Astyanax mexicanus: one gene and its partner. The protein of the gene in region 2 purifies or fractionates together with the protein of the main gene of each other region. This does not show direct contact. Links are inferred from orthologs where the notes say so. Each region holds a gene or a part of one and is shown on either strand. Other genes may lie near its edges. The genes, in order: eif6 and protein BCCIP homolog.

Region 1 (7,587 bases), on a different chromosome or scaffold from region 2:
AACTTACCCACACACATTCGACCAATTATGCGGCATCCTGCAATGGAAGCATGGACCACTGGGATCGTTTCTGACAATTCACCTTCAAAGACACTGTGAACAAAAACAATTCAGAAAAAAAAGTCAGATTTTCAAAGTGTGTTGAGAAATTCTCATCATACAGTGGTGTGAAAAAAAATCTGTTTGTCACTTTTAAATGTTTCAGATCATTAAAAAAAATGTAAATATCAGTCAAAGACAACACAAGTAAACACAAACTGCAGTTTTTTTAACTAAAGGTTTTTATTAGTAGGGAGACCTTTGTGAAAAGTGTTGTCCCCTAAACTTTATAACTGGCTGTTTCACCCTTAGCAGCAACAACTGCAATCAAACTTTTGCGGTAACTTGCAACGAGTCTTTCACATCTCTGTGGAGGAATTTTGCTCCACTCTTCTTCACACAATTCCACCAACACTGAAGAGTTTTCGAGCATGAGCCGCCTTTTTAAGATCATGCCACAGCATCTCAGTCGGATTCAGGTCAGGAATTCTAGGCCACACCAAAGCCTTCATTTTGTTTTTCTTCAGCCATTCAGAGGTGGACTTGCTGGTGTGTTTTGGATCATTAACCTGCTGCAGAACCCAAGTTCGTTTCAGCTTGAGGTCACGAACAGATGGTCGATATTCTCCTTCAGAATCTTTTGGTATAAAGCGAAATTCATGATTCCATTCATCACAGCAAGTCTTCCAGGCCATGAAGCAGCAAAACAGAGCCAAAGCACCACCATGTTTTACTGTAGGTATGATGTTTTTCTGACTTACCCCAGATATATTTGTACTTTCTTATGGTGGAGTCATGATTACTGACCTTAACTGAGGCAAGTGAAGCCTGCAGTTCTTTGGATGCTGTTGTTGGGTCATCACTGCACTCGGATGTTTACCCTTCGAAAACGCAGTTGCGATGCTGACAGAATATTAAATTGTAACTCCTCTATACCCCTTGAATCATAACCCGCTTTATTATTCTAGATTAACGCTGTTACAGGTTTCACTACACTGTTTTCTGGCCTGTCACAATACTGTCCAAGTATTATTGTTATTTTAAATCATTTACAGTATATTTAAAAAAATAAAAACATCCAGTCCAGACACAATGCTGGACATTTATTTAATTATTTAACTTTAAAACTTATGTTCACTTTTTTATGCCCACAACATGAACACAATTTTAAAAGAGTAACAATTTTTGAAAAAGGACTGCAGTAATTTTCCCCAATAGTCTTACTGAGCTGTATTTGGAATATTTGGGTCTAAGTTTCCACAGACAACTCACCTGTAAAAGTTTTCTGATCCACCTATTGCGACTAGGCAGTATGTGTTGGTGAGTTTGGCGAAACATCCAATTTCATTGTTCTTCTCAAATGAAGCTCGAACTGCCATGTCTGCTTCAAGCTCAAGATGTAATACAGTCTTCAAGTCTGCCAGAACCTGGGGAACAGCAGCAGATTGGTACAATTAGCAGCATTTATGGCAACATTTAAAACAAGAACCTGAATTTTAATTGAATTTGATAATGTACTGTTAGGATTTCAAACAGCACTACAAAATGGCTGACATACTATATAGTGCACTATTTCTTTAACATGAAGCGATTCTGTATTGAACCAAGTTCTGGATTTTGACTCGGCCACTACAATTTCAAAGTCAATGTCTTTCTGTAAAACAGATCTTATTGTTGTTACTGTACAGGCTTATTCGGAATGCCCGCCATGATTTTCAGAAATTTTGCTGCATTCATTTTACCCTGTAGCCATCTCCCCATGATGTGTTTGTTGTGAGGTGCAGTATTCTGTGTCTGCATAATATAACTTTGGGTCTGGAGGCCACAAAGCTTTATTTTAACGTCATCAGACCATAGAACCGTCTTCTGGTTGACTTGTTTATAACTTAATATCTGCTTCTTTAACAGTGGATTTCTCTTTGTAGCTCTTCCATAAAGCTTTGACTGCTGTATTATGTAGACCCTTTAGCATCTCATCTATACATTTTCACTCTTTACTTTTCCCATGCATGGTCAATGGTAACTCATGGCAGATCTAATGTCTCATATTCCTTATATTCCTAATGATGGAATTCACTAAACTTCAGAAGCTGGTCACATGTTAACCATGCTATCCATCTCCCCATGTATGCTCTTCAATAACCTTTATAGCAGTGTGGAGTGTTCTTAAATAAGGTCAGAAGTTAGCATTTGTGCAATTACTTATTTTACAATATGTATTTTTTATTTAATTGGCATTACTATAATAAATATAATAAATAATAAATTTATTATTTATTTGTGTCATAAAAAATACTTTATTTATCCATTATTTAATTCCCCCCAAAAATAGTAGGGGGAAAAATTAAAGAGACTAAATACAAAAATAAGACGTTACAGTATAATGGAACAAACAGATGAAAAGGATAGATGATAGAAGAACAATTAAATCACAGGGCGCTGTAATACTTCCTTTGAAGCAATATTAACGATTACTAGTGAGGATTATCACAGGAACACGTGCTCGTATATCACACAGATTTTTTTTTTAACCTGATTGATTACTTAATGTAATTTTAAATAGTCTCGGGTTACATTAAGCTTAGCAACTCAGAGACCCCAGACTGTTACAGCGGAATTTCTGAGCTGTATTTAACTTTCCTGCTGAACTAGTCTTACCTAACCACAGACTGTAATCTTCAGTAATCTCAAGAGAACACTTTATTATACTTAATAATATTACATTATAATATTATATTATACAACCACATTGTTATTATTATTATTAAGACCGCTGCTGGTTTCAGAGCCGAGCTCATCACGCAGTTAGCCTAGCTAGCGTTCTCTAACTGTTATTATTACGGTGTTGTTAAACTAGTAGTCGAACAGCGGCCGAACAGGCGCGCTTGTTCGGATCATTTACGAGTTTTATAATAAAACATGGCGAAGCGGCGCCGAATTTGTGCCTAAAACAGAAAAAAAGTTAAATTACCAACAACAGCGCGGAGCTCGGAGAACTCAGAAGACCCACGTGTTCACTTCCTTAAAGGCGTGCTGACGTCAGCTCGCAGGATCTCTGTACGTGCGCGCGCCGCCTTGGATGACAGGAGAGCTGGGCCGCTGTTGCTGTGGGGGCAGGTAGTAGTAGCTGCTTTGTATTGTGTGAAATTTCCTCTTAACGCACTTAAAATGCTGCAAGTATGTTTTTGGAGTATATTTACAGTAAATACAAGACATAATTGGAGGCTAATGAATGTGCCGCTGAAAGTTAGCGTTTACGGACAGTGAAAGTTCCGTGCAGCATAAACAGAATGGGTGTCATTTGCTTGTTGTAACTCTTCCAAATTAAACAATTTTTTTTTTTTTTACAAAACTCTGAATCTAATAACACGTATTTAACTGATCAAAACATGTACTGGTTAATCTCAGACGGCATAACTTATTTTTTTCACAAGATTTCTAGTCCGAAGATGGTAAAGCATGTTTAAAAGCAAGTCCACTTATTCCTTAGACTACCTCTCAAGAAAGTGTTGATTTTGAAGAAATGGTTGACCGCATGCCAAAATAATTAATATTTATGACAAAAAAATCAGTTTAAATGCATGCACATTGTATTTTTCTAGAATATGCAAAGCCATTTTTATCTTTTCAAGAAGACACAAACCTGAAATTGATCAAATTTATTTATTATACAATTTATTAAACAAATGATAAACCAAGTATAATTGGAAAAGAGTGGTTTTTACATTAACTAATGTACCATAATAAATCAATAAACCAAGGGACAATACTCATTCATGTTACTGGAACTCGTTCTTGTTCCTGGCACTTACTCCTGTTACTGGCACTCATTCCTGTTACTTTTTATGTTATGAGTAACATGATTGAATCTAACAGGAAATTGTTTTTAGCATAAAATTTGTAAAATTTGAAAAATAGTTCAAGGCAGCTATGATAAAAGCATGAGGACACTGAGCACATTCTAGTGATTTTCACAAAATTAACAATAAACAAATAAGATTTAAGAATTAAGTTAGGTAACAGGATAGGTTAGGGACAGGTAACAAATGCTATTTCTTCAGTGTTCTAAGTAGTTTTTATAAATGTTTTTAATTACATATCTTACTTTTGGTCAATGTGCAAGTCACTATACTATTAACTATAAAGTTATTTTGTGAGCACATTTATACATGTAATTTACTGGGGGCCAGTGGCTTATTTCAAATACATTTCAAAAACATTTGAAAATTCTATGAAAATAAATGTTGAATTGTTTTTAATTTATTGTAATACAATTTTATTAGCTACATTACATCTGTAAAAGTTTGGTTTAGGGTCTTAACAACAACATGCATATAAACGCAGAAATGTGACACAGGATTATAATGCCACATGCCATGTGGTTACTTGCATTTCAAATAACATATGATTATTTGCAATATTCAGTACATTTATATGTTTAAAAAGACATGGCTTTTATGTTATCATTTTGTCATGGAATCTCGAGAAAATCTCGAGTCAATATAAAACAGCCAAAAGGTTCTGATTGATGTGAAATTAGATATTAAATTAATATATTTTTAAGTAATAAAAAACTTTTCTGGCCATCACAGTTTATATACATGCATAGTTACCAAATGTCAAATGTCATTTTAATAATGTTAGAATACGTTTCTGTTCATTTTATAAACCTGTTTTATTGGTTGTATTTTTATTAGTCCATTCTCTAAAGAGTTAAACTGCAGTGGATCTATGAAGGCTGTCCAAGCTACCTTTATTTATATTCCCCTTTTCTGCTCCACCAGCCTGCATAGCAACGGGGCTACCACCAGGCTGATTTGTGAGCCAATCAGGCAGAGCTTCTGTTGTGACGGCTGTGTTGTTTGACGTTTTTATTGGTTGGGTGCTGAGGCACGTCACTGCAGTAGCTGCGCGTCACGCGCGGACTCTCGGCCGTTCCGGCTTCTGCCTGGAAACACCAACAGACCCGCTGGAGCTCGAGGCCTGGAGTCTAGAGCCGGGTAATGATTTAATCACAGCGCGCGCTGCTGTCCCATGTTCACCCATTTACACTCTGACTACACTAAACACACTCAGCACAGCAGAAAGATAGTGTACACTGCTCAGTCATCTTGTGGAATCTTCAGATGTTATTAGCAGATAATTTAACCCTGTTGTGAGGTGAGGCCTAAATGATCATCACTGAAGCTTTTATTCAGTATTTGGGGCACTTTTGATAGGTACTACTGACCACTGCAACCTGGAAACATCCTAAATGACCTGCCTGGGGCCAAATTTCCCTAAAGCCTCTTAACATAATTAAGAATATCTTAACATGGAGAGAGAGAGAGTGTGAGAGTGAGTGAGTGAGTGTAAAGCATGTTTGGCCATTTGGGAAAGCCCATTCCTATTGTTCTAAAGGTGTTCTGATCCAGTTGTCCTAACTGTCACAGTTTAGTTATTGTCAAAAGATCTCAGGTTTTTATGTCTGACAATTTTTTATTTAACACCTCAAATGTAAGCACTGACTGTTCACTTAGGCCCAAGGAAGGGGTGAAATCCTCCCTCTAAGAATCCTTCAAGCACCTGATGCAGATATTTAGCAGTTGAGCAATACAGGTGCAGCTCAAAAAAATAGAATATCATTGAAAAGATACTTTATTTCAGTACTTTAGTTCAAAATGTAAAACACAAGATGTATTACACACAGAGTGATCTATTTTAAGCGTTTGTTTCATTTATTATTGATTTTGGCTTAACACAGTGGACCAACACTAGCAGATAAATTGGCTCTCCAAATAATCACTGATTGTAGAAACTTCACACAAGAACTCAAGCAGCTTGGACAGTGTGCCTCTCCACTCTTCCTCCAGACTCATTTGATTTCTAAATGAAATGCAAAATTTACCTATGGTCAGTGATGGTTTGGAGAGACATGTCATCTGCTGGTGTTGATTCACTGTGTTATATCAAGTCCAAAGTCAGTGCAGTGTCATATAATGGCAGCATAAGCTGTCTTAGAAATTTTAGCTGTTAGTTTCCACTGTAAGGAACATAGTTAGTAAATGCAAGACCACAGGCAAAGTTCTAGTTGAAGCCTGAAGTGGCAGAACAACCAATTATTTATAAAGGAAAATCATGAAAATAATCAGGAGTGCCCGAACTTTTTCATACCACTGTATTTATATTGTACGTACTGTCCCAACCTTTACAGATTTGAGAACTGCAAAAGCTTATTTTATTTTTTACTGTATTATTTTTTACTGTATCTGTATCTAATGGACAATTTATTTTTTAAAATCACCACCCCATTTCAGTCCTGTAATATTTTGAGAAATTAATAAACTTTTTAGATTAGTATTTATTTTTTTTGATACAATAAAAATACTATTAATTGTAACAGTAATTTTACTTCAAATCACAGCTTCACCTAGTGTAATTTAGGCCTTGCAGCAGGCCTCTGAAATTTAGGATACTGTATCAATGTAGACAAGCCTGTAGCTTCTATTTATTTTAGATAGATGGATGGATGGATGGATGGATGGATAGATGGATAGATAGATAGATAGATAGATAGATAGATAGATAGATAGATAGATAGATAGATAGTTTATTTATCCCGAAGGAAATTTAGGCATCCAGCAGCAACAACACAATACAATAAGAAACATACTCAGACAAATCAAAACACAGAAGAATAGAAAATATATAAGGCTATATAAAAAAAAAAACTAACTATACAAGGTAAGGATCTATCTGTAAACGGAGCAGTGCAGTAGATGTTGCTAATGGTCATAAATAATTAAATAATTAACAGAGTAAAGTGCAATGACATCGATTACGAAAGTGACTGATGTGACATAGAAATATAATATAATATAAGTATGCATACGTTACAAGACTAAAAAGAGGATGTGAAAATGTGAATACCCAATCATGAGTAAGGTATACTTTAATGTAAGCGAGGTTGGGGAAGTGTTAATATAAATAATTAAGTTGTTGAATAATGTCCGAGTGGTGTGCCTGGATTAAACTCAGTCGTCAGCAGCATCCCGTCCCCGATGGGAGGAGTTAAAGAGTCTGATGGCTCTCGGAATGAAGGATTTTCTGAGTCTGTCTGTTGTGCAGCTCTGTGACAGCAGTCTGCCACTGAACACACTCCTCTGCTTCATGATGGTGGTGTGAAGTGGGTGACTATCATTGTTCATGATAGAAAGCAGTTTATCCAAAGTCCTTCTCTCAGCTATTGTAACCAGAGAGTCCAGCTCCATTCCAACCACTGCCCCGGCCCTCCTGACCAGCTTGTCCAGCCGTGATGCATCTCTCCTCTTCATGTTGCCTCCCCAGCACACCACAGCGTAGAAGAGAATGCTGGCCACGATTGATTGGTAGAACATCTGCAGAAGCTTCTTACAGATGTTAAAGGACCGCAGTCTCCTCAAGAAATCTAGCCAGTTAGCTTTTCTATATCTTTCTTATGTTGCTTATGTAATGTACATATGTGTTTCTATGTATAATATTTTAGTACCTTAAATGTTTTTTTAACTAAAAAGGCAGCAGTCATTCAGA
Region 2 (7,096 bases):
AGACTCTTATTAAAAAAATCTGTCTGATATCACAGCTCAAATTTATATAGCCCTGATAGTACACCACTTGTATGTTTCACTCACTTAAAATCAGAACATTTTGATGTGTCATTTCAAAATAAAGGCCCTTTAAATTATGAAATGAAATATGAAATTGACCTGTGATATCACACAGATTCATTTTAATAACAGCCAAAACTTGTGTTAAAATAAAAATATTGTTATAATTTAAAAGGCCTTTATTTTGAAATGACATATCAAAATGTTCTGTTATTAAGTGAGTGACACATACAAGTAGTGTACTATCAGGACTATATGATATTGACCTGTGATATCAGACAGATTCCTTTTAATAACAGTCTAAACATTGTGTAAAATTACATAAACATTACAATTTAAAGAGCCTTTATTTTGAAATGACACATCAAAATGTTCTGATATTAAGTGAGTGAAACATACAAGTAGTGTACTATCAGGACTATATGAAATTGACCTGTGATAGACAGATTTCTTTTAATAACTGTCTAAACCTAGTGGTAAAATAAAAGATTGTTATAATTTAAAGGGCCCTTATTTTGAAATGACACATCAAAATGTTCTGATATTAAGTGAGTGACACATACAAGTAGTGTACTATCAGGACTATATGAAATTGAACTGTGATATCACACAGATTGTTTTTAATAACAGTCTAAACATTGTGTAAAATTACATAAATGTTACAATTTAAAGGGCCTTTATTTTGAAATGACATCAAAATGTTCTGTTATTAAGTGAGTGACACATACAAGTAGTGTACTATCAGGACTATACAAAATTGAACTGTGATATCACACAGATTTATTTTAAGAACAGTCTAAACATTGTGTAAAATTATATAAATGTTATAATTTAAAGGGCCTTTATTTTGAAATGACACATCAAAATGTTCTGATATTGAGTGATTGAAACATACAAGTAGTGTACTATCAGGACTATATGAAATTGACCTGTGATATCAGACAGATTTATTTTAATAACAGTCTAAACATTGTGTTGAAATAAAATATTGTTATAATTTAAAGGGCCTTTATTTTGAAATGACACATCAAAATGTTCTGATATTACGTGAGTGACACATACAAGTAGTGTACTATCAGGACTATCTGAAATTGAACTGTGATATCAGACAGATTTCTTTTAATAACAGTCTAAACATTGTGTAAAATTACATAAATGTTACAATTTAAATGGCCCTTATTTTGAAATGACACATCAAAATGTTCTGATATTAATTGAGTGAAACATACAAGTTGTGTACTATCAGGACTATATGAAATTGACCTGTGATATCAGACAGATTTATTTTAATAACAGTCTAAACATTGTGTTGAAATAAAATATTGTTATAATTTAAAGGGCCTTTATTTTGAAATGACGCATCAAAATGTTCTGATATTAATTGAGTGAAACATACAAGTAGTGTACTATCAGGACTATATGAAATTGACCTGTGATAGACAGATTTATTTTAATAACAGTCTAAACATTGTGTTGAAATAAAATATTGTTATAATTTAAAGGGCCTTTATTTTGAAATGACACATCAAAATGTTATGATTTTAAGTGAGTGACACATACAAGTAGTGTACTATCAGGACTATCTGAAATTGAACTGTGATATCAGACAGATTTCTTTTAATAACAGTCTAAACATTGTGTAAAATTACATAAATGTTACAATTTAAATGGCCCTTATTTTGAAATGACACATCAAAATGTTCTGATTTTAAGTGAGTGAAACATACAAGTGGTGTACTATCAGGGCTATATAAAATTGAGCTGTGATATCAGACAGATTCCTTTTAATAACAGTCTAAACATTGTTGAAATAAAATATTGTTATAATTTAAAGGGCCTTTATTTTGAAATGACACATCAAAATGTTATGATTTTAAGTGAGTGACACATACAAGTAGTGTACTATCAGGACTATCTGAAATTGAACTGTGATATCAGACAGATTTCTTTTAATAACAGTCTAAACATTGTGTAAAATTACATAAATGTTACAATTTAAATGGCCCTTATTTTGAAATGACACATCAAAATGTTCTGATTTTAAGTGAGTGAAACATACAAGTGGTGTACTATCAGGGCTATATAAAATTGAGCTGTGATATCAGACAGATTCCTTTTAATAACAGTCTAAACATTGTTGAAATAAAATATTGTTATAATTTAAAGGGCCTTTATTTTGAAATGACACATCAAAATGTTATGATTTTAAGTGAGTGACACATACAAGTAGTGTACTATCAGGACTATCTGAAATTGAACTGTGATATCAGACAGATTTCTTTTAATAACAGTCTAAACATTGTGTAAAATTACATAAATGTTACAATTTAAAGGGCCTTTATTTTGAAATGACACATTATAATGCCCTGCTATTAAGTGAGTGACACATACAAGTATTATTAGTAGTAGTAGTATTGTTAGTATTATTATTATTAGTATTATTATTATTTAATTAACATAATTGTTATAATTTACAGGGCTTTTATTTTGTGTACTACCAGGACTACATGAAATTGACATGTGATATCAGACATAACATGTGATATTATGTGGATTCCTTTTAATACCACTCCACAGCATAATGTCATGATATTTTGAAATGTGTTCCTTCTCACGCTTGCCGCAATGTTCAGTGTATGCGCGCTCTAAGAAACAGCGTGGGGGCTAGTTTGACCAAGCGTTTTGAAGTGGGGGCTGGCTTGACCGCAGTCTGACGCAGCGCGCGTCTTTAAAGGACACGGAACTTTCCTGAAGGTTCCGAATCTTTCTGAATCGATTCTGATCGGATTGGATTATCTATTTAACAGTGGAGCTGTGTTTTTTAATATATAAAGTCATATTGTTGAATATTATAGTTATAAAACAGCAACACACACCTTAATATAAAAAAATATATAATTTATAAGTCAAAGTCAAAAGTATAAGTCAAAAATCTGGACACACCATAAAGTCGTTTTAAAATTAAATAATTTAGTAATAAAGTGTTAAACAAACCAGAATATGTTTTATATTTTACATTCTTTAAAGTAGCTCCTCTTGTTTAGATGATCAGTTTTGAACATCTCTGCTGGATTTTCTCAGTCAGTTTTATGAGGTAGAGTCACCTGGAATTCAGGCTTTCAGTTAACAGCTGTGCTGAACTCTTGTGTCTTAATGTGTTTGAGAGCATCAGTTGTAATGTTCTAATCCAGATTATGAGAAGCAACAACTACCCATCAAGTAAAGACAAAAAAAAAATAACAATAAAAAATTAAGGTCAGCCAATTTAAGAACTTTAAAAGTATCCTCAAGTGCAGTTGCACTTGACCTTCAAAAACGTTATGATGAAACTGGCTCTCATCTGGACCGGCCCAGTAAAGGAAGAGCGAGAGTTTTCTCTGTTGTATAAGATTGTATAAGGTTTATCAGTGTTTCCAGCCTCAGAAACCACAGGTTACCAGCACAAGGCCCACACTTGTAAGTTGTGAGTGGTTATCTGGTGAGTGGGGTGAAACACTGGTCAGCATGCTCAGTTTGGAGTTGTTGAAGGTAAAGCTCTTTATTTCCTCCATTAATGCTGTTAAACTCAGAAACTCAGAACATTAAGTTACAATATTCATCTACAATATTCAAAATTACCCTGAGGTATTGTAATGAAAAATACACTATTCTATTATTTTTGTCTCCCTTCCAAAAACAGGAAAATATTAGAATTTAAACAAATATCAAGATTAATGTTGTGATTTGTATTTTTTTTTCAATGATTGACATCACGAATGTAAAAAATATTGAATTTGCAAACAGTGATTATTTTAGTCAAATGTAAATATTTTTTAAACGATTACTGTAATGTGTTCAAATACATAAACATAACATATATAAAATATATTATTGCATTAAAAAACAAAAGACTTTTATTTTGTATTTGCCTCCCTTCAATGGCAACCTTCAGTTCCTGAGCTGAGGAAAAGGCGGCCATGCAGGCTCTGTTTCCGCGGTTCGGCTCGGTATTACCGGGTTGGAGTAAGATCCGGAATGGCGAGCAGCCGCGCGCGGTTTCCTGCCCCTTTAAACCGCGTGTCCGCGGAGCGCGCGGTACTCCTCAGCGGGCTGGAGCTGCGCGAGTGGCGGCATGGCCTCATTTGCGAAGCGGCGCGCGGTAGGAGCGGGAGAGGAGCCGGAGGAGGAGCGGGATTCCGGGGAGAGCGGAGAGGAGGAGAGCGGGGAGTCGGAGGAGGAGGAGGAGATTAATGAGGTGAGGATTAATAAAGAGGAGCGAGTTCTCGGCCTGAGGTTCACCAGCTAAACTCAAGCTGTTCTTCCCCAAACTCTCCGCTCCACCTTAAATCTGCAGTTTTATAGGGGTTGCCGTCTGCATAGGCTCATTACTGTACGATTTAAGGTGGAATTTTGTGTTTTATGAGTAAGCAGCTTCTAACTGGTCAAACAATGCTTATCTCTGGTACAACAGAAAAAAGTCTAGTCTAGAAACTAGCTATGGATATTTGAAGTAACATCGAAGCACTGTTGTAAGTCGCTCTGGATAAAGGCGTCTGCTAAATACCTTAAATGTAAATGTTTCTTTGGTTAAAATGACTCTTTTAGTAAAAAAAAAAAGCTTGGTTCCTTTTATAAAGCAACAAAAAAAGTGTTATTGTTGTTATTAATAATAATAATAATAAATATAATAATAATCATAATCATAATAATAATTATTATTAATATTAATATTATTATTATTAATACAAATAATTAGATTGTCTGCATTGTTTCATATATGCACTGATATAAAACGTTATGAAACATTTCGCCCTTAACTCAGAGCCCCCTGACCCCTAACCTAGAGCCCTGTGAACCCTGACCCCTAACCTAGAGCCCTGTGAACCCTGACCCAGAGCACTTAGTGTTCCATTAACTTTCTTTTCTTCTGTTTTCAGGAGGTTGTTGTGGATTTTGAAGCTCACACTATATCTGATAACGATTTTAATGGGGTTAAGAAGTTGATGCAGCAGGTAACCCAAACGTAGTAACACAACCAGACGTTTATTTAATCTGGAATTAAAAGGAATATGGACCAAAGAAAATTTACTTGAGTGAATCGAGGATTACTGACTATTATTTATATATCTCCAACAGCTTTTCCTGAAGGCACATGTCAACACCTCTGAGCTGACAGACCTCATTATCCAGCAGAATCACATTGGCAGTGTGATCAGGGTGGGTGGACCTGGTATTTTGGGTTAATTATTATTATTTTTTTTTTATTAAATAGTATTAATAGTATAGGAGACAATACTTAACAGCTCTATATGGTGTAGAAAACTAATCATATGTTACATTTGAGTCAAAGGTACACTCATTCTGACACAATTAATATTAGTCTGAGTAACATTTATGTGTCAGATGTACAGTTAGGTCTGTTGGTGCTTGATGTTCTGTAAACCCCCAGCAGGTGGAGTAGTAAGCCAGGTTACCTGTGTGATCTCATCATGTGGGGAAATCAAAATTTTATACTGTGTTTTTTGTTTTCTGTTTTCAGCAAGCCGAGGTGCCGGACGACAGCGACGATGAGGATCCAGATGAGGTGTTTGGATTCATCAGCATCGTCAATCTGACGGAGAGGAAGGTAGAGCACCAGCCCTGAATATCACACACTTGAATAAATAATATATTAGTGCTATAGTGTTGCTAATTAATTGCTATGATCCCATAGTGCATAGGTCGGCAATAGGCGGCCCGCGGGCCAGATGCGGCCCGCAAGCAAGAAACATCTGGCCCGTGAGGTTGAACTATAACGAAAAAAAAAATCGGACTGTCCGTCTCAAAAATGCTCTTTATTTAGAAACTTAATTTTCCAAAACAGAAAAATTTATTAAAGATTTTTTGATAGAGCCACGGGCTGTTAGATAATCCGTGTATCATTCGTTCATTTGATATTCAATTGAGAATCAAAATCGGAAAATTAAAAAACCAATTCGTTTTTTCGTTTTTTCGTTTTTGAATATAATACCAAAAAACGAATAACGGCTTGTATTTTGTATTTTTATTTGGTTATCCAAACAAAAATTGGAAATTTAAAAAACGGACCAGGAGCCGAATTTGATTTTGATTTTGAACTTGACCCATTTGTGTGCCCCGGAAGTTACTGATTTGTTTATTCTTGGTGGGTTTCTGTTGCGCGGGAGTTCACTGCAGTGTTATCTACACAGTCTGTATTGCTGTAGGCTTTGGATGGAGTTGAGGATGGAGAGTTTTATCTTGTTCAGAGGAACTAAACGCGTTGCAGTGAAAGAAGACGATATGACAACAGAAAAAATCGGCAGGATCTTTCAGGTGTTTGTCTAACGTTCCGTAGCTAAATGTCATATTTAGTTAATGTTATTCTGTGAATTGCCGCCTACTAAATATGACATTTAGCTACGGAACGTTAGACAAACACCTGAAAGATCCTGCCGATTTTTTCTGTTGTCATATCGTCTTCTTTCACTGCAACGCGTTTAGTTCCTCTGAACAAGATAAAACTCTCCATCCTCAACGGCCCTCTCCAATTCTGTGTTCGATACATGTCTTTTTCGCTTAAGGTCGTGTTGAACACAGAACCTTCTAACACTTATTGCAGAACATCGCTGGATCCCCATTTGCTGCAACGTGCACGAAATCTCTTCATGCGTCTTACCACCTTCAAAAAGATCTTTAATTAGGCCAGAATGTGGTTCCAGTCCGGCCATGCTGCCTACAGCAATACAGACTGTGTAGATAACACTGCAGTGAACTCCCGCGCAACAGAAACCCACCAAGAATAAACAAATCAGTAACTTCCGGGGCACACAAATGGGTCAAGTTCAAAATCAAAATCAAATTCGGCTCCTGGTCCGTTTTTTAAATTTCCAATTTTTGTTTGGATAACCAAATAAAAATACAAAATACAAGCCGTTATTCGTTTTTTGTTATTATATTCAAAAACGAAAAAACGAAAAAACGAATTGGTTTTTTAATTTTCCGATTTTGATTCTCAATTGAATATCAAATGAACGAATGATACACGGATTTTAGATAA

The links.
Region 1: the proteins of protein BCCIP homolog (region 2) and eif6 purify together in Homo sapiens (affinity purification with mass spectrometry; 3 studies listed by BioGRID and IntAct, counting the BioPlex papers as one, with this or other methods). This does not show direct contact. The link is inferred for Astyanax mexicanus from reciprocal best matches to the Homo sapiens genes BCCIP and EIF6.

The regions. Positions count from the first base shown.
Region 1 is NC_064412.1:44,150,839-44,158,425, reverse strand, and holds the start of eif6 (eukaryotic translation initiation factor 6), read right to left. Parts: upstream 3,098-7,587; 5' UTR 3,011-3,097; intron 1,467-3,010; 5' UTR 1,419-1,466; coding exon 1,312-1,418; intron 94-1,311; coding exon 8-93; intron 1-7. UniProt on the Homo sapiens protein: Binds to the 60S ribosomal subunit and prevents its association with the 40S ribosomal subunit to form the 80S initiation complex in the cytoplasm. Behaves as a stimulatory translation initiation factor downstream insulin/growth factors.
Region 2 is NC_064422.1:13,962,697-13,969,792, reverse strand, and holds the start of protein BCCIP homolog, read left to right. Parts: upstream 1-4,088; 5' UTR 4,089-4,171; coding exon 4,172-4,294; intron 4,295-4,976; coding exon 4,977-5,051; intron 5,052-5,175; coding exon 5,176-5,256; intron 5,257-5,578; coding exon 5,579-5,665; intron 5,666-7,096. UniProt on the Homo sapiens protein: During interphase, required for microtubule organizing and anchoring activities. During mitosis, required for the organization and stabilization of the spindle pole.